7 linked regions of the Neurospora crassa OR74A genome follow. The protein of the gene in region 4 purifies or fractionates together with the protein of the main gene of each other region. This does not show direct contact. Links are inferred from orthologs where the notes say so. Each region holds a gene or a part of one and is shown on either strand. Other genes may lie near its edges. The genes, in order: NCU09349, NCU09521, NCU02546, NCU06843, NCU03066, NCU01524 and NCU08663.

What was found.
Region 1: the proteins of NCU06843 (region 4) and NCU09349 purify together in Saccharomyces cerevisiae (affinity purification with mass spectrometry; 3 studies listed by BioGRID). This does not show direct contact. The link is inferred for Neurospora crassa OR74A from reciprocal best matches to the Saccharomyces cerevisiae genes RPL3 and HAS1.
Region 2: the proteins of NCU06843 (region 4) and NCU09521 purify together in Saccharomyces cerevisiae (affinity purification with mass spectrometry; 3 studies listed by BioGRID, with this or other methods). This does not show direct contact. The link is inferred for Neurospora crassa OR74A from reciprocal best matches to the Saccharomyces cerevisiae genes RPL3 and RRB1.
Region 3: the proteins of NCU06843 (region 4) and NCU02546 purify together in Saccharomyces cerevisiae (affinity purification with mass spectrometry; 6 studies listed by BioGRID, with this or other methods). This does not show direct contact. The link is inferred for Neurospora crassa OR74A from reciprocal best matches to the Saccharomyces cerevisiae genes RPL3 and NOG2.
Region 5: the proteins of NCU06843 (region 4) and NCU03066 purify together in Saccharomyces cerevisiae (affinity purification with mass spectrometry; 6 studies listed by BioGRID, with this or other methods). This does not show direct contact. The link is inferred for Neurospora crassa OR74A from reciprocal best matches to the Saccharomyces cerevisiae genes RPL3 and NUG1.
Region 6: the proteins of NCU06843 (region 4) and NCU01524 purify together in Saccharomyces cerevisiae (affinity purification with mass spectrometry; 3 studies listed by BioGRID, with this or other methods). This does not show direct contact. The link is inferred for Neurospora crassa OR74A from reciprocal best matches to the Saccharomyces cerevisiae genes RPL3 and BRX1.
Region 7: the proteins of NCU06843 (region 4) and NCU08663 purify together in Saccharomyces cerevisiae (affinity purification with mass spectrometry; 3 studies listed by BioGRID, with this or other methods). This does not show direct contact. The link is inferred for Neurospora crassa OR74A from reciprocal best matches to the Saccharomyces cerevisiae genes RPL3 and NMD3.

The regions. Positions count from the first base shown.
Region 1 is NC_026502.1:4,196,605-4,200,608, reverse strand, and holds NCU09349 (ATP-dependent RNA helicase has-1), read right to left. Parts: upstream 2,726-4,004; 5' UTR 2,583-2,725; coding exon 966-2,582; intron 897-965; coding exon 777-896; 3' UTR 501-776; downstream 1-500. UniProt on the Saccharomyces cerevisiae protein: ATP-dependent RNA helicase involved in 40S ribosomal subunit biogenesis. Required for the processing and cleavage of 35S pre-rRNA at sites A0, A1, and A2, leading to mature 18S rRNA.
Region 2 is NC_026503.1:18,619-22,714, reverse strand, and holds NCU09521 (ribosome biogenesis protein), read right to left. Parts: upstream 2,801-4,096; 5' UTR 2,564-2,800; coding exon 2,365-2,563; intron 2,302-2,364; coding exon 1,028-2,301; 3' UTR 219-1,027; downstream 1-218. Other genes in the region: NCU09522 (hypothetical protein), read left to right, coding at 3,573-3,614, 3,738-4,096.
Region 3 is NC_026501.1:2,685,297-2,689,285, forward strand, and holds the start of NCU02546 (nucleolar GTP-binding protein 2), read left to right. Parts: upstream 1-1,189; 5' UTR 1,190-1,521; coding exon 1,522-1,831; intron 1,832-1,892; coding exon 1,893-2,258; intron 2,259-2,313; coding exon 2,314-2,477; intron 2,478-2,858; coding exon 2,859-3,878; 3' UTR 3,879-3,989. Other genes in the region: NCU02545 (hypothetical protein), read right to left, coding at 1-826. UniProt on the Saccharomyces cerevisiae protein: GTPase that associates with pre-60S ribosomal subunits in the nucleolus and is required for their nuclear export and maturation.
Region 4 is NC_026502.1:1,783,778-1,788,040, forward strand, and holds NCU06843 (60S ribosomal protein L3), read right to left. Parts: upstream 2,789-4,263; 5' UTR 2,660-2,788; coding exon 2,647-2,659; intron 2,418-2,646; coding exon 2,339-2,417; intron 2,213-2,338; coding exon 2,056-2,212; intron 1,998-2,055; coding exon 1,974-1,997; intron 1,904-1,973; coding exon 1,254-1,903; intron 1,196-1,253; coding exon 940-1,195; 3' UTR 501-939; downstream 1-500. Other genes in the region: NCU06844 (hypothetical protein), read right to left, coding at 103-105; RCM-1, read right to left, coding at 4,130-4,263. UniProt on the Saccharomyces cerevisiae protein: Component of the ribosome, a large ribonucleoprotein complex responsible for the synthesis of proteins in the cell.
Region 5 is NC_026501.1:4,414,055-4,417,925, forward strand, and holds NCU03066 (GTP-binding protein), read right to left. Parts: upstream 2,671-3,871; 5' UTR 2,566-2,670; coding exon 2,538-2,565; intron 2,467-2,537; coding exon 842-2,466; 3' UTR 501-841; downstream 1-500. Other genes in the region: NCU03065 (mitotic control protein dis3), read left to right, coding at 1-325; NCU03067 (hypothetical protein), read right to left, coding at 3,689-3,871. UniProt on the Saccharomyces cerevisiae protein: GTPase required for 60S ribosomal subunit export to the cytoplasm.
Region 6 is NC_026502.1:3,192,924-3,196,597, reverse strand, and holds NCU01524 (ribosome biogenesis protein BRX1), read left to right. Parts: upstream 1-1,354; 5' UTR 1,355-1,505; coding exon 1,506-1,651; intron 1,652-1,729; coding exon 1,730-1,947; intron 1,948-2,016; coding exon 2,017-2,630; 3' UTR 2,631-3,174; downstream 3,175-3,674. Other genes in the region: NCU01523 (GTP-binding protein ypt3), read left to right, coding at 41-121, 194-333. UniProt on the Saccharomyces cerevisiae protein: Required for biogenesis of the 60S ribosomal subunit.
Region 7 is NC_026504.1:4,180,517-4,184,465, reverse strand, and holds NCU08663 (60S ribosomal export protein NMD3), read right to left. Parts: upstream 2,700-3,949; 5' UTR 2,433-2,699; coding exon 2,371-2,432; intron 2,310-2,370; coding exon 812-2,309; 3' UTR 501-811; downstream 1-500. Other genes in the region: NCU08664 (tetratricopeptide repeat protein 1), read right to left, coding at 3,098-3,838, 3,917-3,949. UniProt on the Saccharomyces cerevisiae protein: Acts as an adapter for the XPO1/CRM1-mediated export of the 60S ribosomal subunit. Unlikely to play a significant role in nonsense-mediated mRNA decay (NMD).

The sequences.
Region 1 (4,004 bases), about 2.4 Mb from region 4:
GAAGTGATGGGAAGGGAAAGGAGAGGATATTGGGAAAGGGGAAGGGGAGGATATTGGGGACGAGGTGAAATTTGGTAAAGTTGTTAGGTTGGTTTGTGTCGGGGAGTTTCCGTCTGTTATGTAGTTCAGGTTCGGGGGGTCGATTGGGGCTGCAGATAGAATAGGTATCGATGTAGGTCGTTCTGAAATAGTAGACTGTCATCAGTGGGTTGTTTCATGCTTTGTTGTTGGAGGTTAGTGTTGAGTTGGTACCGGTTGTCAGCTACCTAATTTGGGTATTGATTATGAATCCCTACAAAGGATCCTTGATAGAGAGTGACACTCAGGACCTCCATGCTTTCCATCAGCCATATCAACATCACGATCTTTCCAATTGCGTAGCAAAATAGATATGATGTGGTTTGTTCAAGGTCTTTCTTACCATTTATCAAATGAAACTGTCAGCATGATAATATGTTCCATCCTCACATGGAAAGACACCCGAGATGACCGAACGGCACAGCATCAGAAATACCACACCAACGGAGCAGCAACGTAAAGTAAAAATTAATTGTTGATTTGAAGCCCTCCAGTTTTACTTTTCAACCAAAAACGCCTTGGCAGCTTGCGCAAACAACAACAAGTAAACAGCAAAGTAGCAACACAAAAGAAAACACCCACTATGCTCCACACCGAATGCCCGATGGATATCTAAGAGAGAACATTGACAAATCATCATCCCCTTTTCGTATTCTAACCAACAACAACAACAACACGAACACCGAATCCCGCCTCGCTTAGTGACGGTTCTGCTTCGGCTGGCTACCATACGCTCTCCTGCTCGTCTGCTTCTTGTCACGCGACATGCTGGAGGCCAGGGTGATGTCTACCCTGGGAGGGGTGGAGAAGCCGAAGGACTGTTTTTGTAGTACGTTAGTGACTGTTCTGGTGTTGGGGAAGAAAAAGGGAGAGAAGAGAAAACATACCTTGGCCACCTTAACCAAGTCAAGCTTATGGATATCAAACACCGACCGCAAACTGTGCGAAGCATAGGCGTGGAGATACGACCTGTAACCGTCCTTGGCGCTCTGGTTAAGGTAGTAGTTCTGGCCGATCAGCTTCTCCAGCTGGGACTGAACGTTGAGGATCTTGCTCTTGGGGAAGTCGTATTCCACAACGGGGACCTTGGCGGCCTTGAGATGGGCGAGGAAACCCAACTCGTTGGGCTGGAGGAAGAGCAGCGAACGGCCCTTGGTGTTGTTACCACGGGCGGTACGACCGACGCGGTGAATGTAGTCGCGCGGGTCATCAGGAGGATCGAACTGGACGATCCAATCAACGGCGGGGATGTCGAGACCACGGGCGGCAACGTCCGTGCAGATGAGGGTGCCCTGCTTGGCGTTGCAGAATTCGAAAAAGGTGTTTGTGCGCTTCTGCTGCTTCTGCTTGCCGTGGAGATCGAGAACCTGAAGATCGATGTACTGGAGAAGTTCGGAGTAGTACTTGACCGAGTTGCAGGACGAGAAGAAGACAATGACCTTCTTCTTCTGCATCTTCTTGAGGAAAGAGAAGAGGAGCAGGAAGCGCTTGTCGGCGTCGACGACAACGTAGCCTTGGTCCAGACCCTCGACCGTGCTGAACTGCTTCTCCTCATCGACGTTGACGTAAAGAGGACCGGGACGGAGCGAGATACGGGCGAGATCCTCAACCTTGGTGGTTTGTGTGGCGGAGAAGAGCATGGTCTGACGGTCCTCCTTGGGCAGGATCTTGATGATCTGGCGCATTTCGTCCTCGAAACCAATCTCGAGAATACGGTCGGCCTCGTCGATGATGAGCGATCGCATGTTCTTGAACACAAAGGGAGTGTTTTGCAGGTGATCGAGCAGACGACCGGGAGTAGCAATGAGCAGGTTGACGCCCTTGCCCAGCTTCTCGGCCTCAGCACGACGGTTGGCACCGCCGATGACGACACCGTATGTTTGGGAGTGGTTCTTCATGAGCTCGCGGGCGACGCCGAAGATCTGGAGAGCCAATTCGCGGGTAGGAGTGACGACAATGGCACCGGTACCGTTTCTCGGCTTGAAGCGCAGGGAGCTGAGCATCTCGATAGCGGGAATGAGGAAGGCGAGGGTCTTGCCGGAACCGGTCTTGGCCGCACCGAGGACGTCCTTGCCGGCGAGCAGAGGCGGGATACCTCTCCTCTGGATCTCGGTCATCTTGGTGAAGCCCATTTCGGCAATGGCCTTCATGGTCTTGTCGGACAGGTTGAGCTCGGAGAAGTCGGTGGCATTGGTCGCGATGGACGGGGCGATGAGGGAGTCGTTGGTCTTTGTGAGTTCGTCGCCGGCCTCAGCGTCCTTGTCGTCGCTGTCCTCCTTGTCCCCGTTGCCGGTGGGGATGACCTCGTCGCCATCTTGTTGTTCCTCCGCCTTTTGGGCATCGTTCTCCTCCTCGGGGGTGGCGTCCTCGACGACCTCTTCGGCGGCCTTCTTCTCCTTCTTGTCCTTCTTCACCTTCTTGGTCTTCTTGTCGGTGGCGGCGCCATCTTCGGTCGCAATCTTGGCGTCCTTGAGCTTGCGCTTCTTGCTAAATTCGGAAGCCATCGTGATGGCGTGGGGGGGTTGGTACTGTCGGTGGGTGGTTGCGATACTCTGGGAAAAGGGCGTCGCAATGGTTCCGTTCAAATTCCCAGCGAGTCGAATCTGTTATCCTTCCTCTGCCTTCTCTTTCGCTGGGGATTTTTTTCTTATCGCTTGTTCGATAACCAGGGATTACACCAGGCGGTGAAAATTTTGCCAATTCTGCCCTCTTCTCCTGATGAAAACCTGGTCTGTGCGCTACAGCCGTCCCAGTGTTGACCCCACTTTTGACTGCAGATCAGCCGAACCCCGGAACCCGCCAATTGTGCCCCCAATTGCTTGCGAGAGTCGAGAACTGAACTTGTCCATTTCCTCTTATCTTCAAATCCGCATTATGTTGTTTTCTTCTCTGATATTCGTTTATTATCACAACGCTTTCACCTCTCCTGCAATTACTCCAGTCTGTCATAGACATGATATACTCAACGTAACCGCGTGTAGTCGGTCTTTCATGTTCGTTGTCCCTCTCACGGAATTAGGCTCTGGATGTCGTCCATGGTGGCATTGCTTTACACTGCGGATATTCAAACGCTGTACAGTACCTCTGAGATCCTGGCATTGCAGTATTCTTCTTATGTTACATTTCTATTCCAAAGGTTTAGTGGATTGAGACAGACCAGTCAATAGCCTGGTGGACTTTGCAGTTCCCGTCCAGCGGACGACTTCGAAGGCCTTGACACAAGTCCATAGTCAGGCTACGGGTTGCCTTGATCGATAATCGATAATTCGGGGCAGCTGGAAACTTACCCCGTCTGCGGGATACAGGGCGCAAGATTGGAACGTACCAGTCAGCTTCGAATCCAGGTCCCTGGGTTGGAAGTGTCACTCGCCGAGAGGCCCCTGGGTCGATACATAACAGTACACATGGCAGATCAATATCCTCGCATCATTACATTGGCTGAAGTGAAGTTTCATGAACCCCTTCGGAATCCTTCATATTCTCTCAAGGCTGACGGGATGCTATCTTGGTCACGTCGGAAGTAACAACACCTTTATTACATGAAAACATGATCATTTTCCATGGAGTTGACCGAGTCACAAGTGTGGTTCGGTCTTTGGCTCACTGCTGCCTTGGGTCGCATCTTTCCACGATCTGAGGCTGAGAATGGTTCCAATGGGAGGTATCAGCACGGAAGTTGATGTTCATGATATAATCTGGTCCCATGGCCCTATTCTTCAACACCACTCGCTCAACACCACGGACAGACATCACGGAAACAATCCAGAAGGCATCCCATAAAATAAAATCGGACAAGAACTTCTGGTTCTTGAATCGAAACCACGTTTATGTTAAATCTCGATACACTCTGTATCTCACTTCCCCGTCTTTCTGCTGCCAAGTGGTGCCCCAGGAGGCGTAGACACGGCTCAAGCCGATCGGGCTGG
Region 2 (4,096 bases), on a different chromosome or scaffold from region 4:
ACAGTAAAATGAAGGACCATCTTACCAAGATACCTTCCAGTAGAGATTAGTTTGAGTCATGACCATGAGAGAAAACTCTGACCTAAACATTGGGGCGCGGGCATGGCGTACTTGTGAGATGGTGATATCGATTGACCTCCCAGCACACACACACACACACAATTTCACCGGAGCGTTTCATCCGTTTGACGTTTTTTTTTTTTTTTTTTCTTTTTTTTTTCTTGCTTTCCTCCTTCCCTTGCTGCAAGGATAGTCTTAGCTATAGACAGCACTTGAGATGGCTGTGATCCGTTGTTCCCGTCCAAAGCCCGGATAACGCCTGTAAAAGCTACCAGGTTTGCAACATACCCAACCAAGATCGGTCAGCTAACGGCAACAGCAGAAAGATTGAGAGATCACAGTAACAAGGCAGGGCAACCGAAAACGGCGTAGCGCGCCTCCACTCTCCAGGCCATATTCTTTGAGGTATGCAGACCTGGATGAACATTCGCGCAGAAGACGTGGAGCTGTCGGTAGACGCCCCCCCAATGACGAGTATCTGAGGCAATAGACGTGATGCCCGCGCGGTCGTCACTGTCGCAAACCTCCTCCTAAGCATTCTGTGTCGAGATGGCATGTCCGACAGTTGCTATACCCGGTCTGTGGTAATGCGTAAGACACACGTCATAGGAGGTGGAGTCGACTGGAGGCTTGCTCATCACCGGAGATTTAGGCCGGTTCCGATATCAACCTAACTTTGGTGTTGATGGCAACCATCGGATACGACGGATAGGGGCGTCAACGGTGGTAAAACTTTGTGGTCGGCTGGTGCAACACAGTAGAGCACGGAAAATGTGTGGAATCCGCGGAGTTGTCAAGTTCCGTGGAGTTGGCAACTTGGTTGCTGGTCAATGGGTATCTCGATAAGCAGATGGAAAAGTAACTTTTGATGCATTGTTGGTCTAGACCTCCCGCACAAGCCAACCGATTCCGAATCCTGAACACCTTTGTATTGTTTCCCAAACTTGATATCCTATTCTGCTGTTGTTTATACGCTGATGGTACGGAAGACGCTGAACTGCTCGCCGGTGGCGACAAGGGCGCCGGGTATTTGAGGGTGCCAGTGGAGCTCCTTGACCATGTTCTGGTAGTGGACGAACAGGAGCTGGGGAGGGACGTCCGAGACACCGGCGGTATCTCTGCTCTCCTCGTCATCCAGCTCGACAGCCAAATCCCAGAGAGTGACGGTGTTGTCGCCAGCAGCAACGGCCACGATACTGTCGTCTGTAGGGTGCCACTCGATGCTGGTGATTTGCTCGTGGTGGAAGTTGAAGTTTGCCAGAGGCGCGGGCTTGGCCGAAGGGTTGCTGCTCCATTGACGGAGATCCCAAACAGCCCACTCACCATCGTCGGCACCGGTAGCAAGCAGGTGGCTGGTCTGGCGGCACCATGACATGACGTTGACGTCGTAGTTGCTGATCTTCATGGTGAGAGCGGGCGAGCGGCTCTTGCTGCGGACATCCCAGACACGGACGGTACCATCGCTGGAAGCAGAGGCGAAGACGTTGGCCTCGGAAGGACTCCACTGGATCTCCTCGACACTGCCGGTGTGGCCGCGGAAGGGACGAGTGTCAGTGACGAAACCGCCGCCATCAGTGCGAGTGGTGACATAGATCAGACCGTCGTTGTCACCGGTAAGCAGCTTGCCGGCGGGGTGGAGAGGCGACCAGTCTACACCGTAACCCTCTGTCTTGTGGGCGCGGATGGTGCAGACGGGCTTGTTCTGTTGGGGAGTGACAATCATGCCGGGGGTATCGAAGGAGGCGAGATGGGGGGTGATGTCGTGGATGAGCACCTGGGAGGACTCGGTCATGGTGGCGGTTAGGGTGGTGGGGGGCCTCGAGGGATCCTGGGCAGGGGACTGGTGGGAGCGTATCCTGTTGGTAGTGGTGTTGAGGGGAATGCTCTTGTGCTCGAGAATGGGGTCGGTGTCCTCATCATCCGAGTCCTCGTCGTCCGAGTCCTCGCCATCCTCGCCCTGCATCTTGCTGAGGCCACTGAACTTCATGACGAGAAGGGAGTTGTCGTTGGCCTGGGCGCCATCGGCCTGGGTACCGGCGACCGTGTACATGGTGGCAGGGTAGACATTGCGGTTCTCGCCGAGGCCGTCGCGGATGATGTCGAAGGAAAGGCAGGGCCAGGGAGTGCTCAAGCTGTGAAGCATCTTGTATGTCGTGGTATCGGGCGTGAGGGTCTGGCCGGCCTCGAGCTGTTGACGGCCAACCATGAAGGTCTCGGGGCCGCCATCGACGTCCATGGCGCCTGTTTGTTGCGACTAGGGTCAGTACAATGTAGTCACGAGAGGATGAACATGGGTGGTCGTACCCTCCTCAGCCTCTCTCTCGGCATCTGGGCGGCCATCAACACCGGCCTCGATGATCTCGTCTTCACTCTCGAACTCGTCCTCAAAGTCGTCCTCGAACTCGCCCATGTCGTGGTCCTTATCGACATCCATGGCCTCGGGGCGGTCGCCGCCCTTGAGGGGAGCAGCAAGGCTCTCGTCTTCGGCGGCTCTCTTGGACATTTTGTGTGGTGTGTGTGATGTCGGTACAATGTATGATGAAGGGTTGTTTGCAGGATTGGCTACGGCGGCAAGAGGCAGACAGCACTGTTGCGTGTTTGTTGTTGACAGATGGAACTCGGCAGCCGCTACAGTATCAGACACGACGGGAGGGCAGCGGACTTCCCAATCCAATGTCAACTGAACCGAACTCGGTCCCGCAAATTCCACTTCCAAATTTTTGAACTTTTTAGTGGAGCTGTGGGACAGCCGGGTTGCCAAGCTTCCAAATCTCCACAGCTACCCCGCGTGAGTGGCTTCAAGTTCTGTCGGGTCCACTGCTCTAGTCCAGGCCATTTGTGGCTTACTTACCTGCACTACGCACTCCTGGCACTGCAGGGGATGTGGCTCAGCAACCGCACTTAGTTGTTACCTCCATCTACAGTCCAATGCTGGTTTGATTGTTAGCTTGGTACACTAGGTAGGTACTTAGGTCTGGTGGTGCATACTAGGCGAAATCAATCCCGAATAGTCTTAAAACTGAAGCTTATTAGGATAAATTAGAATGGGTGAGTACGAAATATAAAGGCATTAGCAGGAATTGATATAGCATATTGAATATTAGGAATGGCGTTTCCAAAGTAATAACAGGCGTTACTTAGCTATGAAGACGCATAGGAAAGTTAACACGAGGTCTCGAGCTAACAAAGAAACTAGTACTGGACTGTAGGTACTCACTGGACTGCATTTGAACTGAACTGAACGACGGAAGTGAAGTCGAGTCAACTACACGTGTGTAAACTGGAAGTCTGCCATCCCACGAAAGATGGACCTAACCTTTTCGTCCAACAAATCGATCCCACTTGATGCCTGCCCGACGCTGAACCCCAACCGGAAAGCAAAATCCCGACTTTCTTTTCCGTTCTCAGTCAATCCGAGATGCGATACAGCTTACGAGTAAGGGCATTGCCTGATTACGAGTCCCAACATGATACACAGTACAAGCGGAGCTGCGCCTCCGTCATGTCCGAAAATGATCTTCGGCTTGCCCGAGTCCACTTGCCGGCCACCTGAGGTAGTGTACTCCGGCGTCCCGACGCGCACAACGGTCCAGTCGTGATCGACCCCGTTCCAACAACAGCTCGACAGTCCCGTCTTGCCAATGTCAGTCATTCTAGGGCCAGTCGTCGAACCATAGCACCCCAACATGGTCCTCAGCATGGCACGTTCACGTGGCGTCCTCGCCCTCATGGCCATCACCAGTCTCGTCACCGTCTGGCTGTGTCGACTTCCCCAGCTAAACACCGACATAACACGAGGTCCCGTTCTCCAACGCCATCTCGATCTCTCCCTTCCCGATGCCCCCTTCGTTGGCTGGCCGCTCGAGAGAGTCTGCAGCGAGACCAGCTGGACCCCCGGCCTGGTCTTCGTTTGCGACAACAACTCCGGCGGCATCGGCAATATCCGCAACTACATGCTGACTTGCCTACGCTATGCCATTGATGCCGGCGCAACCGGTCTCGTTATGCCACGAATCCGCGTCCGATCCGAAAAAGA
Region 3 (3,989 bases), on a different chromosome or scaffold from region 4:
TGCTAATGGGGTTCTTCTGCGAATCCCAAATGCTGCGGCCGCTTTCCCAGAGACCGGCGTTGTGGATCTTCTCGGTGAAGTGTTTGTTGACGTGCTCCTCCAGCTCCTTCTCGTCCACGATGAAGTTCTTGGACGCCACGTACAGCTGGACGACGGCGTCCCGGCGCGCCTCGCTCTTCATCGCCTCCTTCTCTGCATGTTTAATACGCGCCTCCTCGGCCTTGACGAAAGCCTCTGGGTCCAGGGGTACGAATGTGTTCTTGGCCGTGCTCTCGCGAATCGTCGCGCGCGTGAACACCTCGTCCAGACGCTCCGGCGCCTGGGCCGCCCGCTTGTTCGCCAAGTAGCGCGCCTTGCTCTCCTTCGCCTGCTTCTGGTCGCGCTTCACCTTGCGCTGCCAGAGTCCCTGCAGACCGGCCTCGAGTGACTGGCGCCGGGCCTCGGCCATCTTGCGACGCCACGACTCTTGTTTCGACTTGGGCGGCAGACCAGCCAGCTCGGCGGCGGACTTGGGAGCGATACGATTGACATAGCCGGATTGGACCTTCTCCGGGACGCCCTTCTTTGGGAAAATGGAGCGGGGGATCGGGAGGTGGCCCTTGACGAAAGGGTGCCTAACCTCGGAAGACTGCGGCGGCTCGGGGACCTTGATGTAGTTGGGCGAATCGGGGGGGATGGAGACCGAGTCTCTAGCCGATCGGGTGGTGCTGAAAGATCGGGCGGCGATGGCGCGTGTTACTACGCTGGTGGCAGCGCATGTTGTGGTCGGGGAAGAAAGGATAAATTGCACGCCGCTGAGCGACGGCCTGGCAAGAGTTGGCGCCATTTTTGAGGTGGAGGGTTGGCTGAAGACGGGGTGAGCGGGATGGGGTCGGAGTTGGGAGACTTCTGGCCGGGCCGTGCTATGCGGAGGTTTCGTGCGACGGAGGGAACGGACCAGGCGGGTGCAGCGGCCTCTCGCTCTCCTAGGTAGGTAGGTTCGGCTCGGGATCGTGGGACACGCCGCGGTACGAGGGGGCTTTCAACTCCGTCGAAATTCTGAAAGCTCGGGGAGGCCAGAACGGCGCTAGAGTGCTCTTGGTGCTACTAGCTTTGCTGGTCGCGGGCGTTCTGCCGTCGTACACCGCTAAACTTTTTGTGCATGGGGACCTTTGCGCGGCCTCCACACCCCGCCCAAAAAAAAAACTGACAAAACTTTCGCCGGGACCAGTCGCAGAGTTGCATTTCCTCCTTCTCATTCCTTCCTCGCTTCCCTCTCTTCTTTTCTTCTTCCCCAGTCCATTCATCCTCTCGATTCTCACGCAACACCCTCTGCCGATATCTGATACCCCATAGCCTCGTTTCTAGCCTTTTACCCATTCTTCCCTATTTTCGTGTGCTTCTTCTTTCAAGTCAATCTCAAACCCCCCGATCTACGGATACCCCCAGCCGCTCTCGCAGGCGAGAACGAAATTCTTCCACATCTGCATCCTCTACCCACCAACCTACTCGGTAATCTGGCATTGAGTGATATCTGCCAAAATGGGAACAGGAAAGAAGGAAAAGTCTCGCATTCAGCGACAGGGCAAGGTGACGGGTGATCCAAAGGTCAAGGGCGAGAACTTCTACCGGAGCGCAAAGAAGATCAAGGCCTTGAACGTGCTGAAGGAGGGAAAGGCCATTCGCAACAAGGAGGGCAAGGTCGTCAAGGCCGCGTCGTATCAGAGCAGAGATGTTCCCACAGCCGTCATCGAGCCGAACCGGAGATGGTTCAACAACACCAGAGTCATTTCGCAAGATACGTTGACATCTTTCCGGGAGGCGATTGCCGAGAAGGACAAGGATCCTTACTGTACGTTCAACTCTTCCGTCACTTGTCCGGCCGACCAAGACTAACGCACCTTGTCTTGTAGCGGTGCTGTTGAAAAGCAACAAGCTCCCCATGAGCTTGATCAGAGATGGACCCAAGGATGCGTTGAAGAAGCACCAAGCCAAGATGACGATTGAGAGCGAGCCGTTTTCACAGACCTTTGGCCCCAAGGCCCAAAGGAAGAGGCCAAAACTCAGCTTCAACACGATCGGTGACTTGACAGAACACAGCGAGAAGAGCATGGATACATACCAGGCCAGACTCGAGGAGATCAAGCTTCTAAGTGGTGCTTCTGGATATGGCGGTGGTCTTGCCGATGACGATGTTCAAGAGGAGGATTTCAGTGTCGCGACGGCCAAGGAGGCTATCTTCACAAAGGGCCAGTCGAAGCGTATTTGGAACGAACTGTGTAAGTCCTTCTGTGTTTGGGGACTTGTGACTTCGGGTTGCTAACCATCACATAGACAAGGTCATTGATTCGTCAGATGTCATCCTGCACGTTATCGATGCCAGAGATCCTCTGGGAACCAGGTGTCGTCACGTTGAGAAATACCTTGCCACTGAGGCTCCTCACAAGCATCTTATTTTCGTGCTGAACAAGATCGATCTTGTTCCTTCCAAGACTGCTGTAAGTGTAGACCATTATTTGCTTTCACTCCTTCTGCTTGAATCTCTTGACTTGCCTCGCGCAAATCCTGAGGTTCCCAGGGATTTTGTCAGGATCTTTCCCGCATTCAGTTGCGCTTCATTGGGATTGGTCTGTTACATCGCTGGGAGATTAATATCCACCTCCCAACCTCTCTGGTCCCGTCTTGGGATTGGGGATTTGATGGACTCCGTTTTGGAGGACTTCACGGGATACCGGACGTGTTTCGTTTGAGTTGAATTCCACCCTGCCTTTGAGCAGACTCTACCATGGTGGTCTTCTTAGTTATGATTCACACATTTCTTCACATTATACATATATGTTATATTCAGTAACGAGTTGAGGACTAACTGAAAACAATAGGCCGCGTGGATTCGCGTTCTGCAGAAGGATCATCCTACATGTGCTATGAGATCTAGCATCAAGAACCCCTTCGGTCGTGGTTCTTTGATCGATCTTCTCAGACAGTTCAGTATCCTGCACAAGGACAGGAAACAGATCAGCGTCGGTCTTGTTGGCTACCCCAACGTCGGCAAGTCGAGTATCATCAATGCCCTTCGTGGGAAGCCCGTTGCTAAGGTCGCCCCTATTCCCGGAGAGACCAAGGTCTGGCAGTACGTCACCTTGATGAGGAGGATCTACCTCATCGACTGCCCTGGCATTGTTCCTCCCAACCAGAACGATACGCCACAGGATCTCCTGCTCCGTGGTGTTGTACGTGTGGAAAACGTCGATAACCCGGAGCAATACATCCCTGCGGTATTGAACAAGGTCAAACCTCACCACATGGAGAGGACATATGAGCTCAAGGGCTGGAAGGACCATATTCATTTCCTTGAGATGCTTGCTAGGAAGGGCGGCAGACTTCTCAAGGGTGGTGAGCCTGACGTTGATGGCGTTGCGAAGATGGTTCTCAATGACTTCATGCGAGGCAAGATTCCTTGGTTCACGCCTGCCCCCGAAAAGGAGGAGGGTGAGACTGATACCATGGAGGGTCGCGAAGGACGCTACGGTGAAATGTCCAAGAAGCGGAAACGTGACGAGGACGACAGCGCGCCTGCTACCACTCCCGCTTCAGCAGGAGAGGATGCCAAGGAGGAAGACCCTGAGAACTTTGCCGGGTTCGACAGTGACAGCGACTCTGAGGTCGAAGAGGCTGCTGAGGAGAAGGGTGAGGAGAAGAGCACTGCTGAAGATATGATACCCCTGGACGCGTCGAGCGATGAGGAAGAGGATGGCGAGGAGGAGGGCTCTGACGTCGAAGATGACGAGGAAGGATCCGACCTCGACATCGAAGGAGCCAGCGAACTCGAAGAGTCTGAGTCAGAAGCCGAGGCTGCGCCAGCACCTCCCCCGAAGAAGCAAAGGAGGAGCAGGAAGTAAACTCGGTCAGTGAACGCGATGGGCGGCTGGGGTGAACCGAGCATGCGTTCAATAGCCGACCTCAGGGTTGGTAACGATCCAATCGGATCATGACGGCCGGTGTCACTGATA
Region 4 (4,263 bases):
AGAGCCGGGTAATTAGCTTTGCGGATTGTCGACAAAGAGTTTGTGTTGAGGATGGAAGAAGCAACTAGAACAGATCTGGGTCAGGGTTAGGGAAGTTCAAACCATTATGTTGTTGTGTTTAGGTTGAGAACGTTTCGTTGGGCGGGACGACGATGACAATGATCAGTCAGGTGGGTGGGCTGCGTGGTGGGATGCGAACGAACGTCCGATGATGTAACCTGCAGTAGCTGAAACCAATTAGGAATGGCGGATCTCACGTTGGCCTAAGAGTGGAAGCGTCAACCAATCAGGAGATGGGCTGCTTGCAAGGTCGATCGGGGTTTGATATGCCCTCAACAAGTAACAACAGCCATGTACGCCGTGAGGACTCCCAAAAGCACGACTAGGAATATGAGAAGATGGTCGAAAAGTGATATCATTATCAGTCGTGGTATCGCAGATGAACAATATCAGGAAGAGAAAGCATAGAGACGGGTAGTGAATGACAGGTGGAAGCTCATGAACAGTTGATAAATCGAACACGTCCAGCGCAGCAGAACAGGCAACGAGAATCACACGACATGCTACATTCAAGACTATCAAATTGGGTATATCTATATGCCACTGGTCCCTTCAAGTCATTACCCTACACTAGTGGGGGCATAGCAGCCCAAGACAAAAGTCCTGGAATAAAACATACGAAGTTATAAACAACAGTGTCCATCGAATCTGTGCCAACCACCAGATTCTTCACGTGTTCACATCACATAAAACACATTTTGCTGAAGGACACTCTCTTTGGCAGTACACTGGATCAACGTTTCATTGTTCTTCAACAGCTTTTTATTAAGCCGTAAATGCTAGGTATAGTCCCATTTCCCGACCGACCCGAAAGAGCAACGAAAAAACCGTGACACCAATGCAACCCGACTAACAAGGAGATCAACTGCAGCAGCCAATTTACGAGCTGGCAGCGAGGTCCTTCTTGAGGGTACCCTGGAACTGCTTCTTCTCGGCAGGGGTCTGGAAAGCACCATGACCGAACTCCGAGGAGGTGTCGATCCACTTGAGCTCGACCTTCTCGAGGGCCTTGCGGGAGGTGTGGACGAACATGGACTTGCGGAGAGTCATGACTCTCTTCTTGACACCGGGAACGGAGCCCTTGACCATGACGAAGTCGTTGTTGATCTCGCCATAGCGGACGAAGCCACCCATGCTGGAACAGGGTTAGTTTTGCGCTCTTCAACTTCTTCAAGACAGACGGGGATACATACGGGGTGATCTTCTTCTTGGTGACATCGACCTCGGTGGCAGCAGAGTCCTCAGCATCGCCCTTGCCAATGCGGTAGATCTTGTGGTTGACCGAGGTACGGTGGTGGTAACCGGCCTGACCAGCGCGAGCAACAGTCCACTGGACGTGGGAAGGATGCCAGGCACCGATACAGGCGACCTTGCGGAGACCCTTGTGGGTCTTGCGAGGAAGCTTCTTGGTGCCCCAACGAGCGGTGACACCGGTGAAACCGTGACCCTTGGTAACGGCAATGACGTCGATAACCTCGTCCTTCTCGAAGATGGAGTCGATCGAGACGGGCTTCTCGAAGAGGCCGTGGCCGAACTCGACCTTGTCGGCGACGGAGCCACCGTTGATCTGGATCTCCATAAGGTGGGCCTTCTTCTGCTTGAGGGGAGTCTTGCGGATCTGGGTGTGGGCAAGAACACGGACGACAGTGCAGTACTTCTTGATGCGCTCGAGCTCGCGGGTGATGGCGGCACCGTTGTTGTCGGAGTGCTTCTTGACGTACTTGGTGAAGGCCTTCTTCTTGGACTTGTACCAGTTCTTGTAGAAGCGGCGCTTGACCTCGTCGGACAAGTGCTCAGCCCAGACGGTGGTGAGGGAGCGGAGACCGCGGGGAGTCTCGATGTACTAATATCGGGGTTAGATCACACGGTCGCGGTAGGCCATATACGGCAGCTGGACAGGATCAAAGACTTACGCCGACCAGACCCACAACGATCATCTGCGAGAGATGTTAGCCATTGACACAAAAAGAGCCAAGCGGGCTGCGTTGTACGTACAGGAGGGGTATCAATGATGGTCACAGCCTCAACGACCTCCTTCTTGTGAGCCTTGGCGCCGGGGCGGTCGAGGTCGCGGACGATGGTGGTCATGCCGGCCTTGTAGCCCATGGCGGCGGTAAGGTGGACGGGCTTCTTGGCATCATCCTTAGGGAACCTGTCATGAACGCGCAACTGGTCAGCCTCTCTGTTCGCATGCCCTATTGCCCAAGTTCCGATCGCGAAAGATCCAAACTACTAGCGATAGTGTTGTCGATGGTACCAGAAGATAAGCTTGACTTACGACTTGACCTTTCCCCTGTGGCGGGCCGCGCGCTTGCGGGGAAGGTAGGCCAGCGAACCGTGGCGGGGAGCCTCGTACTCTGAAGCATCGAGTCAGCATGAAGGACGTTCAGGTTGCCATGAGGTCCAAGTCGTGATCACGCATGCTCCCCAAAATCCAGTCGCCAAAAAGTCGAAAATTTCGATATCGCGACGACCGTCTCTCGGGAAAGCTGCTCCATCGATTCTCTCGAAGTCGGGATTGCGTGTAGAAATCGACAAAGACCGTATGTCTGGCGGCGACAGCGACGGCGATGAGGCGTTACTTACTACGGTGAGACATGACTGCTGATGATCCCAAGTACCCGGGTTGTTGATGGTCGAGTGGGAAAAAGTTCACTACCGCGAAAACAAAATCAAGAAGTATCGCCAGAGAAATTGGACCAGCCAAATTTTTGTGTGAGTGGTGTGGATTGGACCGTGCACGGGCCTCAAGTGCAGCGGAGCCCTAACTTTTGCGCGAGCCCTTTCCGGCGGGCATGTCCGCCTTCCTGTTCCTCGAGCCCGCCCAGCCAACCAGCGATGACCAGCCAAGCCCAGAACAATCCACCCCACAAGAGCGACCCCGTACACTTAGTCAGCTTGGCGGGCCATTCACTAATGGCACATTGATGACAAGGTAAAGTCCTGTTGAGGTGGCAGAAAACGTGACTTTGATTGCTCTGCGTATAAGTCCGTCATCGTCGCCGCTGCCGCCGTAGGTACGTTCGCAGATGGAATACGAGATATGGGATTTTTTCGGCGCCTGCGCGTGGCAACGGCTCTGTTTGGTCTGGTCGGTTACAATATGTTGAGCTCCAATCTTCGTTGTTCCCCCCCTTGACTCCATCTTGATCACACGGCTGATTCTCCGAATTCGATGTCCGCGCCCACGGTGTCAAAGAGAGCAAGCTGTTGTGGCTTTCAATAGCCTAGGTTGGGCTGTTTGGATCAAAGCGAGATCTCCATCTATTGGGGTTGTCAGCTGCCTGTCAGAAGCATGACGACATTGTCAAATGCCCCATCTGCTTCTTGACTCAATACCTCTAGCTTGTCGAGCTCGTGGACAAGGGCATTATAACAGTCGTAGATGTAAAACAAGTGGGTTGGCTTAACATGATTACATGATTAGGCGGACATGCATGGTCAAAGGCGTACTGGTTACAAGGGATAACCACGAAAGCACTACACTTAGCTGTCATCTCCTTGACTTTTCGGGCTGAGGCGCCGTTCAGCCATTTCAATAACACCGTATCCCGTGCGGGAATGATCACGACGTTGCAATTACGATCCCAAGAGTGTAACGACAATCGTAATCATGTTCTCTAACTGGCCTCTATGGCAAAGCAGCGAGTTCATTTCCGCCTCTTGAGGATATTCCCATTCCCTTCTCGCTGTCGACTTTCCAACAGATGACATGCACACGCTTCTATTCCAAACACAAGTCATAATAATGTATGTACATCGGAATCCGCTCCTTCCTCTCCCTCCTCATCTCCTACCGGTCAGTCAAAACGTGGTAAAATAGTGCATTTCGCACCCATGAGATCTTGAGCTTCACAGGTCCTTCTGTCTCCATCATCCATGTGTGTGAAATGATGACCACTCTTTCAAACCACATAAAACGAACAAGTCGACGTACATTCCCATCCATAAGCAAAACCATTATGACATCGACAGGATCTTGGGTTCTCCTACCTCTGCCGTATTATAAGCAGATACACTGGGTCTTGTCTCTCGCGCAGAAGCTCGAGGTACACGGCAGATGATGTAATCAGTTGCTTTCTGACTTTTGTCCCATGATGCCGTTGAAGCTACCGCTCGTTGAGGCTCCGTTCTTGGACTCGTTTGCTGCAGGGCCGGATCCGGAGGAAGGACCGGGAATAATTCCGCCCTTCTTGTCCTCCT
Region 5 (3,871 bases), on a different chromosome or scaffold from region 4:
CGGCCGTGCCAGCATTGCTTATTATGTCGGCCAGGCCCTGCGCGGCAAGGCTACGGAGGAGGACGGCTTCGTCATGAAGATCTTTAGCAATGGCTTTGTTGTGCTCGTGCCGAAGTTCGGTATCGAGAGCTTGATCCGTCTGCGTGACCTGGCGGAGCCGGAGCCGGCGGCGACGTATGATGCCGAGACGTACACGCTGACCACATCGGGAAGCAGGGAGGTTAAGGTGGAGTTGTTCCAGAAGGTCAGGGTGAGGGTGACGGATCAGAAGGATGAGACGACGGGGAAGAGGGGGGTGAAGATGGAGCTTGTTAGTACTTATTAGATTTGTTGAAGATGGATGCTTCAGTATTTGAGAAGGGGTACAGGTTAAGAATACCCTTGATGGACTTTTGTAGAGCAATACATTGTTTTTTTACTTTCGGCTATCCAAACGTTCATGAAGTCATTTTCGGAATGTCGTTGCTTTCGAATTCGATAATAGGCCATTGAAAACACAGCTCGGTATGATGAACGATGCAGGGAATGTCAGAAAGAATTTAAAGCTTCACTTCAAAAGCCTTTGTCATAGAGGTGTTTATGATCAGGCTATATTTGACCTATTTTCTACCAGCCGGCCTGCCTGTCTCCCTTTTTGCTCTTTCCCACCTTGACGCCAAAACGCCTCTTCACAAAGATGTGTCCAGCTCCGGGGTTCGTTGTATTGTGTTTCTGACATGCAAAACAACAAAATACTCATTACGACATTGACCACCGACGCAACCGAAAACAAAAAAGAAACCAAAAAGTGAAATGCTCAACAACAACTGCCAACAGACAAAGATAGGGGGAATAAATCGCTCTACTGCATCTCAACATCCGGAGTCGCCGTCTCCTCCTCATCTCCCCAAAGACCATCCAGCTTGAACTCCTTGGCCCACTCGGTCACGATCACCTTCTGATCCGCTAGGGGCTCATCAGCGGTAGCAGACTTGCCGCCAGCAGGAGCAGGAGCAGTGGCGGTACCAGCCACAGCCAAGACGGGAGCATCGATCCAGCCCTGGATACGACCGTCGCGCCAGTCGGTCACGACAGTCATGGCAGCGGCTTGGATATTGGGGATACCGCCCCTGCCCAGCCTGCCGCGCTTGCGGGCAACCTGGACAAGGAAGTCCATGGTGGGGTCGCCGTTGTTGGGGTCGCGCAGCAAGGGGGGAAGGTCGTACACCTTCATCATCTTGTCCATCAACTCGGGGGTGGCCGACAGGCGCTTGAGCAGCAGCGTCACGGCGGGGACCGGGTCCTCGATCTGCTTGGGCGGGATGGCATTAAGGAGCACCAGGTGGGCGTGCGCCTCGGTCTGGTTCTTGGGGGTGAAGGTCGAGTTGCCGGCAGTGGAAGGGAACACGATACCGGGCGAGTCGAGCAGCGTCAGCTTGCTGTCGATCTTGACCTGGCGGATCGAGGTGGTGACGCCGGCCTCGGCGCCGGCCGGGCAGGCGTTGTGCTGGCCGCGGCTGTTGCTGAGGCGGGACAGGAGGGCGTTGATGACGGACGACTTGCCGACGTTAGGGTAGCCGATTACGCCAACCTGGATGGAGCGCTTGAGGTTGCGCGAGACGGCGTACGACTTGAGCGCACGGAAGAGAGCCGCGCTGGTGCTTTGGACGGTAATGTCGCGGTGCTGGAAGGTGTGGGCGTTGGGGGCAGGGTTGGAGGCACGCAGCGGCAGCGTGGGGAAGTAGCGGCGCAGGTGGGTGAGCCAGCCGCGGAGGACCGGGGGAGGGATCAGATCGACCTTGTTGAGGATGAGGATCAGGCGCTTACCACCGTGGGCGGCGGCCATGACGGCGCGCTCGACGTCCCTCGAGCGGGTGCCTTCGGGATCACGGGCGTCGAGGACGTAAAGAATGACATCAGCCTGCTCAACAACCTGCTTGAAGACCTTGTCGAAAGCCTTGCGCGAGGAGGCGCCGCCGGGAACCTCAATAACGCCGGACTGTGTGGGTTCGCCATCGGTCTCGTCGTCGGACTCGTCGTCATCGTCCATCTCGTCGCCGCTCTGGAGCTCGCGGTCGTACTGCTCGGCAGCTTTCCTGGCGCTGGCCACCAGGGCAGCGAGGGGGTTCGACTCATCGTCAACGTCGCTACCATCCTCCTCCATAGCATCGTCGTCGTCCATCAGATCGTCATCGAACGCCTCGACATCGCCCTCGGCGCCCGTCTTGGTGTCCTGGCCAGTCTTGGCCGCCTTGGCCATCTCACGACGCTTCTGCTCCTGTTCCTTTCTCCGAATGCGGTCCTCCTCGATCTGGTTCAACAGCTTCTCCTTGTAGGGGAAAAGGTTCGGGATACCCGGGTCCTTCTTGAGCTTGGAGCGCCATTCTGGGTTCTTCTTGGCGAGCTTTCTGTCCTTGCGTTGCTTCGCGGCCGAGGCCTTCTGGATCTTGTGCCTGAGGCGTACGGGTGTACGCTTCGATTTCGGCTCTGTTTTTAAGTAACGTCAGTCAATGTGTTGATTGGAAGAATATGTTGTTCTCAGCGAAAGATTGACTGACTTTTGGGCTTTGTTATCGATCCGGCCATTTTGAAGATATGCTGCTCCTAATGTCAAAAAAGGAGGTACAGGAGGATAATTGAGGATGGGACAGCAAGGTAAAGCAGCAAAATCCGGTCGCTACTATGGGCGGCTGTACTGATTGATGGTCGTCAAAAAATTAGAGTGGAGGAACGGTTTGTGCCACTGCTGACCGCCTAGATAAGCTCTGATAAAGCAGGGATCCGCCGTGTTGAACTCCACCAAGATTCCAGAAGTCCCCGCTTCGAATGTGGAGATGCGCGTGCCTGTAATTTACAGTCGTATTGTATGTTTGATTTGTGTTTAGCCAAACGTGGAATGTAAATTATATTGATACACTTATGGTGTGGTTGCGCTTGTTCTCTATATGTATATGAAGAATTATTGCTACCGACTCTTTACGCAAGTGGTTTGCATTGCCTTTCCAGAAAGAGGACTTTAGGTCGGTCCGTCTCAACAATCAAACACTTGTCTGCCATGACGATCCTCAAATCCATCGAACCGTCCGTCAAGGTGCAGTTCTGGATGCCATCAGTTCTGTCGTCAAGCACTTGTTTATACCACACATGGACGCTGTACGCTTTTTTTGAGTTTTTGGATCATCATGGATTCAACAGAACACCGTGCCCCGCTCGCATAATTGATCGTCGCTTAAGCTGACAATGGCATTGCACTATGCAATGATTATCGGCAGAGCAGACACTCCGGACATTGGGTCATCTTGGCCTACGTAGACAAAGTCCTGAAGCAAAATAGCATGCTAGCATCGAATACGCATCAAGAAAGGGGGTTGTGGTGGGGAGGTAACATATCACCCAGAAACCACGCTTATCACGCTTCACATGAGGGAGTATCTTCAGAAACTCTTCCGTAGGTATCCCCCATTTAGCGTAGAGAAAGACGGAAGAGACCGATTGTTTCCCAAGTTATCGCACCCTTCAATCGCTGTTCTCTTGTAAATGCATCCAGGACTTGCGAGTCAATTGTATCCTTGATCTGATGGGCCCTTTCAACGCGTTCAAGGAGCTAATTTATCGCTAATTACAACAACGACTCATCCTAACGCTGCTGGGACAGTTGCTAGTTGACCGTATCGAGGTTTCCGATCGACCGGCACGCGAAGTGCTCCGCCTAAAACTCCTTTGCTGTTTCATACTGAACCCGAAGCACACGCTTTGCATCATCCATCAGGTCCATGTGCTGATAGATAACACCAAGCTCGCCACTGGCTTCGATGCGCAGCTCACTTGATGCCGACATGGCCATTGCTTGCTCGAGCAGGTCTTTTGCCTGCTCATACTTGCCAAGGCGTCT
Region 6 (3,674 bases), about 1.4 Mb from region 4:
AAAGCCGTATCGCCAGGATGACTGACAGAGAGAACTGCAGAGGAAAACCACCTATCCTTTATCGAGACTTCGGCTCTCGACGCCACAAACGTCGAGCTTGCGTTCCAAAACATTTTGACTGGTAACGTTTGCCCAAAGCCTACAGCTGCTGCTCTGGCGCGAGCCTACCGCTAACATGCGATCATTTATCTAGAAATCTACAAGATCGTGTCGACCAAGAACTTCGACAACGGCCCCAGCGGGTCCAACGAGGGCCACCAAAACCTGTCTGGCCAGAGCATCTCGCTCAGTCAGACCGCGAACGACCCCCAGGCGAAGTCTGGCTGCTGTTAGGAGGTGCTTGATTCTCCGGGCCGGGAACCGAGTGGCCCTGAAGGGTTGAGGTGCAGGGTGCAGCAGAGTACAACAGGGTGCCGAACCAACAACGGCGTCACATATGTCTGACATGAAGCAATGGAGGCTTATGATGAGCAATGAAGAGCAGCATCGGGGGAAAAGTACGGACGGATCCTGCCCAGTCTTATTACATCACGGTCGCCGATGGGATGGTCTGTTTTTCTTTTTCTCTCTATTTTTTTGGGCTTTTGGGGAGGGGGGAAAGGATCATGATGCTCGTCTTCCAGCCTTTCCTTTTTGTTGTTATTACTACTACTACCCCTTTCTTCCCTTTTCCCCCCGTGCTGGTCGTTGGAATTTTCCTCAATGTGGTTAACGAAGCCATCACTTGCGCATGGATTACGAAAGATATTATTTAGTTGAAATGAACTATGGGCGATAAACAGCCCTTAACTCAACCTGGTACATATTGCTCCACGTTGTCAAGGTCTCCATCTATTGCATCCACAATGTGGGAGAAGAGGAGTACCTCGAGAGTGAGTACCTATGTAGCGATAATCGTGCAGGATCTCGTTATGACATTCAAGTTGATTATGTGCGACAGCGGGAAACAGTCAATACAAATTAAGACATCTGGGCTTGCCTGATGGATTATGGCGACTGTCCCTCATTACTCCCATCGCGTCACCCGAGGCGGTTGAAGTGGGTTTGAGTGCGGACAAGAGGCCAGTCCCGTCCCATCCCCCACTGTAGGGCAGACAAGAAGAACGCGTGGAACTTGGACAGTGTGTGTAGGCAATGGAATCCCCAGAACTTGGGGGTCCGGATTCCAGGTTGGGTCCATCAGTGGGACAAATGCGGGTTGCCCAGACCGCCGACCGCCTTTCAGCTGTTCCAAGCAGGGGGGCCGGAACAGGGACGCTAGTAAGATAAGAGAAGCTTATCGGAGTGGGGCTGCGATTGGCCGGCGAACTTTTTTTGAGATGGAACAGCCTGCACTCCATCACTGCGCTTCGCCCGCGACGTTCGTGGATTGGAGCATTGAATTCACCTTTGCAATCCGCATTCCGTTTTTCTGCCATCACTTCCACCACAACCACCACCAACTTCAGTCACCCTTGTTTTTCGCCCGATTTTGATACCCAAAGAACGACAAGAACAAAAAGAAAATGGCCGCCGTTTACAAGTCGCTCTCGAAGAGCGCCAAGAAGGTCGAGGACACGGAGAACGACAACAACACCACCACCACCAATGGCGGCTTTCGGAAGAACAAGCAGAGAGTTCTGATTCTCTCGTCCAGAGGCGTTACCTACAGGTACATATAGACCCTGCATACCTGCAAGATGGAAGAAGAAAGGGTCAATTGCTAACCGCCTTTGCGCCCCGAGTACAGACACAGACATCTCCTCAACGATCTCGCAGCGATGCTCCCCCACGGCCGCAAAGACGTCAAGTTCGATTCCAAGTCCAAGCTGTACCAACTGAACGAGCTTGCCGAGCTCTACAACTGCAACAACGTCATGTTCTTCGAGGCGCGCAAGGGCAAGGATCTGTACATGTGGTTTAGCAAGGTTCCTAACGGCCCTACGGTCAAGTTCCACGCCCAAAACTGTGAGCACTATCCATATCCGAGATACGCATTGTGAAAGAGGAAAAATCGGGTTCTAACAAAAAGCACAGTGCACACCATGGAAGAGCTTCACTTCACGGGTAACTGCCTCAAGGGCTCGAGGCCACTCCTCTCCTTCGACCTCGCCTTCGAGCAAGAGCCGCACTACCGCGTCATCAAGGAGGTGTTTCTGCAAATGTTTGGCGTCCCCCAGGGCGCGCGCAAGTCAAAACCGTTTATCGACCACGTCATGAGCTTCAGCATTGCCGACGGCAAGATCTGGGTACGCAACTACGAGATCCGAGAAGTGGAGAAGGCCAAGGGCGAGAAGGACAGCGAAGGAAACGACATTGTCCCCGAGAGCGACAAGTCATCATCGAAAAAGAGAAAGGGCGCGCCCAACGCGGAGCTCAAGGACACAGACGTCAGTCTGGTTGAGATCGGACCTCGGTTCGTCCTAACGCCCATCATCATACAGGAGGGCGCGTTCGGCGGCCCCATTATTTACGAGAACAAGCGCTTTATCTCCCCCAACCAGGTGCGCTCGGAGCTGCGCAAGGCCAAGGCGACCAGGCACAACACCAGGGTGGAGCAGGTCAAGGAGAGGCTCGGCAAGCTCGAGACCCTCACGGCCCAGGCGAAGAAGGAGAAGGATGTCTTGGATACCCGGGAGCTCTTTGCTTAGAGAAAGGAGGAGGAGGGGAAAGAGAGAGAGAGAGCTTTTCACAACACGATTTCATCACGTCTGTTCGCTTGCGACACATCAAAGCAACGCACGCCTTAGGTTTAGGGGTAATCAAGGAGTTTTTTGTACTTTTGCTGGCTGGCTGGTTTGGTCTGGTTCGGGAAAAAGAAAGGAAATCGATTTGCATTGTACAACATTACAGTATTCGTGGGGATGTGTGAGACGGACGAGCTGTCCTCTTTTGACAGTTGGGAAAGAGGATCATGATCGAGTGGTAGATGAGCACTCAGCGTATAAGGTGCTGGCTCGAAAACGGACACATCAGATCAAGATTGAGTGATGAACGCCGTCCTGGCTCCGGTCTTGGTCGTGTTGAAAGGAGATGGTCAAAGAAGGGTAGGAGAGCAAGTACTTTGCTCGGCACCTCACTAGCGGTTGACTGTCTATAACCACACTCCTGAGGGAGATGTTGTTCGCATAGGACCTAGACTCTACCTTAAATGCAGTTGCGCTGTGAGATATTGTCTCACATTTTTGCTCCATGATTTGGGTTGTTTCCATATATATAAGAGACACGAGGTGTCTCTTTCGTTGAGTTGTTGGGATGATATCACCACCTTCAGTACACTCCTCAAGGAGAAGAAGAAGAAAAAGTACCATGTTTTGTCCCAAGGTAGCTTTGGGCGACATCGTCCCAAATTTCAGATTTTCTGACGGACTAGCCATCTTCTCAGGGGCTTTGGGTCGTCTAAGTCATGTAGTGTGCCTGGGAGTTGGCGCGAGTTTGGTGCTTCTTGAAAACAAGAGATAAGGACTGGAGCCGATACCTAGGACGTCGCTCCTTAAAGCGAAAGACAAATGGCTTGAGTCTAATGTTGAACACGTATGGCTAACGCTTTTGATCAAAATTTAGAAGCAAAAAAAACGACTCGGAGTACTTTGGTCATGACTCAGGTTCACTCATCGATATCGGAGGAGAGAGTTGAGGATAGGTTGTAGAGGGTTCACTTCACTCATTGTGAAAGTTCGCTACAGGGGACCTGT
Region 7 (3,949 bases), on a different chromosome or scaffold from region 4:
AAACCCCCTTTTCCCTTTTTGCCTTTAGCCCACCTACTACTGAACCCCTGACCCATGTCACACCCAACCCTCAACTCCACCACACAATTCATGAACAATTCGTGCTTTTCCGGTTCAAGAACACATCCTCTGGTGACAAAAGCATAAAACAATCGGAAGCCATCCTTCATCGGGTATGGTGTAGCGGTAACATCGTTGACTCTCACTTGTTTACAAGTGTCTGTTTTCTCAACAGCCCCGGGTTCGACTCCCGGTATCCGAGCGATAACGATCAACCTTCTGGTTCTCTTTTTTTCGTTTTATTTTTTCCATCTTTTCTCTTCGTTTCAAAGTTGTTCCTTGGCCCCCTCTGCATCGTTGTGAAACCCCGCGCATTTTGTGATATGTTTTCCTTTTTCTGGGGTTGTATGCTTTGGAACCTTTGTCCGGACTCGAAATAAACCTGTTTTCATAATTGATGATGACCGAAGGCGACAAGATAAAACAGACGGATGGAAAACATTTTGAGCAGATGTGTAACACTAGGCCTTGACTGACCAAGATCATCGTACATGACAAGTTGCACATCTTCGTTGATTTAGTACTTTGACGGTCGTAGCATCCTTTCAACCACGTCTATGCATTCACAACTATAAAGACAACAGAATGTTGGATGCAGAGGGCGCCAACACGGCAAGCCCATTCCCGAATCTATTCATGAAATGCCTTAAAAACGCAAACCCTGAAGAACAGCTAACTCCCAGAATTTTGATTTACCCCGAATCCCAAAGCCATTCACATCCACATATCAGACTCCAATCAAGATCACATCCTACTCCTTATCCTGAATCTCCATTTCCTCAAAGTCATCGAGGAGCTCGTCCATGCTGATCTTGGGGCCATCCTCCTCAGCCTCCGTCATCATGTCGGTATCGGCAATGCTCATGGCATCCGCCTCCCTCTTGGTCTTGAGCGAGTTCTTGTACAGAGCAAGAGCAGCACGAAGCTCCTCGTCCTCCTCGACATCGCGCAAGAACATCTCGTACTCGGCATCCATCTTGGCCTGGTCCGAAGCCTTGGGCAGCAGCTCGCCCTCGTCCTTGGCCATGCGCTTGAGCTTCCAGTTTCTCTTTCTGTTGCGGCGGCGGTTCGGGTAGTGCTTCTTGACGAGAACAACGTCAGGGATCATGGAACCGTACGCCTTGGAGCTCTCAATCGCCTCGAGCGCGTCCGAGTTGAAGTTGGTACCCTCGAGCATGTAACCCAGCACCGAGTCACCGGCGTGGAGATGCTGGCCGAGATGTGTGCGAGTGAAGTAGACGTTGTCGTTCACGCCGAGATCGGAGGCACGAGCGACCTGGACCTCGGAGAGAAGCCACTTTCCTTTTCGTACGCCTGTGGACTCGATGTCCATAACGATAAACTCAACAAGATCGGGAGTGCCGGCAAGCGGATGGAAGGGAGCACGCCAGTAGATATCGGCGCTGACTTCGGCGGTCTGGAGGGTGTTGGGGTCGAGAAGGTTGACAGATGTTCCTATCCTGTGGCAAAGGACAAGGGGAGAAATGTTGCCAATGGACTTGGCGAGTTTGAGAGGAAGGGCAACCAAATCGTCTCTGCAAACAGGCACGATTTCGACGGAGTAGTTGTACTTGTACGACTTGTTGCCGGTGTGTGTATCCGCGGAAATAAGATGCCTCGACTCCTTGGTGAGAACTGGTACGACGGACTTCAGGAAGCTGATGAATCCCTCGGCCTGGTTCTTCTGGGCAAAGTAGAAATCGATACCGTCCTTCTCTTCCTTGATGTTGATTGTGTCGCGATGGGCCTGGTGCCTGAGAATGAGCTGTTCGAGGAAAAGGAACGTCCTCTTGTGGGTGACCTTTTGGCGGACCTGTACGGCGGCGCGCCAGACGTTGGCTGTGTATGACTTGGCGCAGTCCTTGCACTGCTGGCTGGCGACGACGTAAGTGACCTCGAAGCTTTGCTGCATCAACACACCATCCGCCACCTGATCCTGAACCGTAACCTGAACCTTGACTCTTCGCGAATGGGGTTCTGTCCAAATGAACCTGGCGTCTGTGATGCGGACCTTGCCCAAATTCCTCAGTTTCTTCAAGCATAGCGACAACAACTCTCTCGATTCGGGGGCGGCTGTGACCCAGCTGGCGGGGGGTAGGAGCCATCTGTCGCAATCTTTGCAGAAGTGGAGGGTGGCCTCGCGCTGGATGCCCTGGGAGATATCGACGGTGGACTTGATGCAGTCGTAGCAAAGAGCGCCGGCGGAGGATGTGCCATCGATGGGAGCGCCGCAGTTGCAGCAGAGAATGCTATTGGTGGTGTCAGCAATCATGCCTTCGATAACCTTCAGTCTTCATGGTCAAAACTCACGTAGCACCTGTCCTGGCAGAGCCCATCAACGGGGCCATGGCCATAGGAGCGTCGAGATCCATGATTAATGAAGTTGTGGTTTGCGACAAGATATGAATCGGGGTATCAATTGTAAAAACAAACAAAAGTCGCTATGTCGTGAAAAGGAAAACCTGGGAGTTCCGTCGCAATCACAAGTGAAGTTGCTGCGGATGAGAAAGAAGTTGACGACTGGAAATTTGAATGGACCAGGACGAGAACGAGTCGCTGGGGGGGAACGTTGGAGGCGCTGACGGGACGGTCGTCAATAAATTTCTTGATGGGCCCAGCACCAAATCGCCCCGCGCTGCATTGATAAGCAATTCGTTATCGGCTATCGGCTACCGTGGGTACTTAGAGGTATTAGCACAAGCCAGTGCAGCAGTACGTACAATTGTGGCGTTCTACTGCCGGCTTTGCCACACCAATAAATCAGCCTCAAAACTTATGGAGCTTTAGCTCCGGCCAGCTGTATTGCAGCTGTCGGGTACGAGCTCCTGATCATCTCCCCCCCTTGTCGATCTGTTGACATTGAACTGTCGATTCGTGTTGACTACTGGTCGATAATATTTTCAGGTGACTGGAAAATCAGCTTTCCCAGTCAGAGGTGCATATGGCTGGGTGACTGGACTATCAAGAAGCCATTCATCCTCAACCACGACGCTGGTAGGCATCGCAAGAGCCCTGACCCTCATTAACTTTCACAACATTACTTTTTGCCTTCGCCACCACCTCCCTGGAAATTCATGCTGTAACCACCGGTCTTCTCATCCTTCACCATCTTGAAATGGTCAGTGCTAAGACCAAACGGCTTAAGCAACCCATTCCCAAGGTCCTTCAACTTGCCCCACATTTCAGCAGTCTCCTTCTCCTGAGCAGCCTTGGCCCGGGGCGGCAGTGCTCTGAGTTGCGCCTGGACGAGCTTTCGGTCGGTAGCCGTAAGGTTGGTCATGGCAGATAGCTTCTTGTAATCCTCGATAGCCCCCTCGAGGGTGGACCATCCACCCAGCTCGCTCCTTGCCCGGGCCCGGCGTAGCAGAGCTTTGGCCCGTATCCTGGCAATATCCTCTAGTCGCTTTTGGCGGGCAATCTGCGCTTCAGTTTCCGTGACAGGAACGGCGGGTCCGGCCTTTGCTGCACCAGCGCTGACAATCTCCTCTTCGACATCTTCCTTCTCCTTCTCTTCCTTCTCGGCAGCCAGCTTGTCCTCCCGCTCTAGCTTGTCAAGCAAGTCCAGAGCTTTGGTTGCGTGCGTGATGGCATCCTTCCAAGCTTCCAGCATGAGGTGACAGGCGGCCACGTTGGAGCGCAAGACGGCCAAGGGGTAGTCCAGGTAGTTTGGACAAACAGCAATGGCTTCGTCATATTTGTTGAGGGCGGCATCGTATTTGCCCGAGGTGAAGAGGGCGTTTGCCTCTGCTTTGTGTGTGTTGGACTCAGCTACCAATTCCTGCTGAGGCGGTCAGTCACAGAGGTTTGGGCATCAAGAGGGTCTTTGTTGTTGTTGCTTTTGGTCGTGGGTACTTGCAGCCTCTTCTTCAGGTGAGAATTTGATATCGGC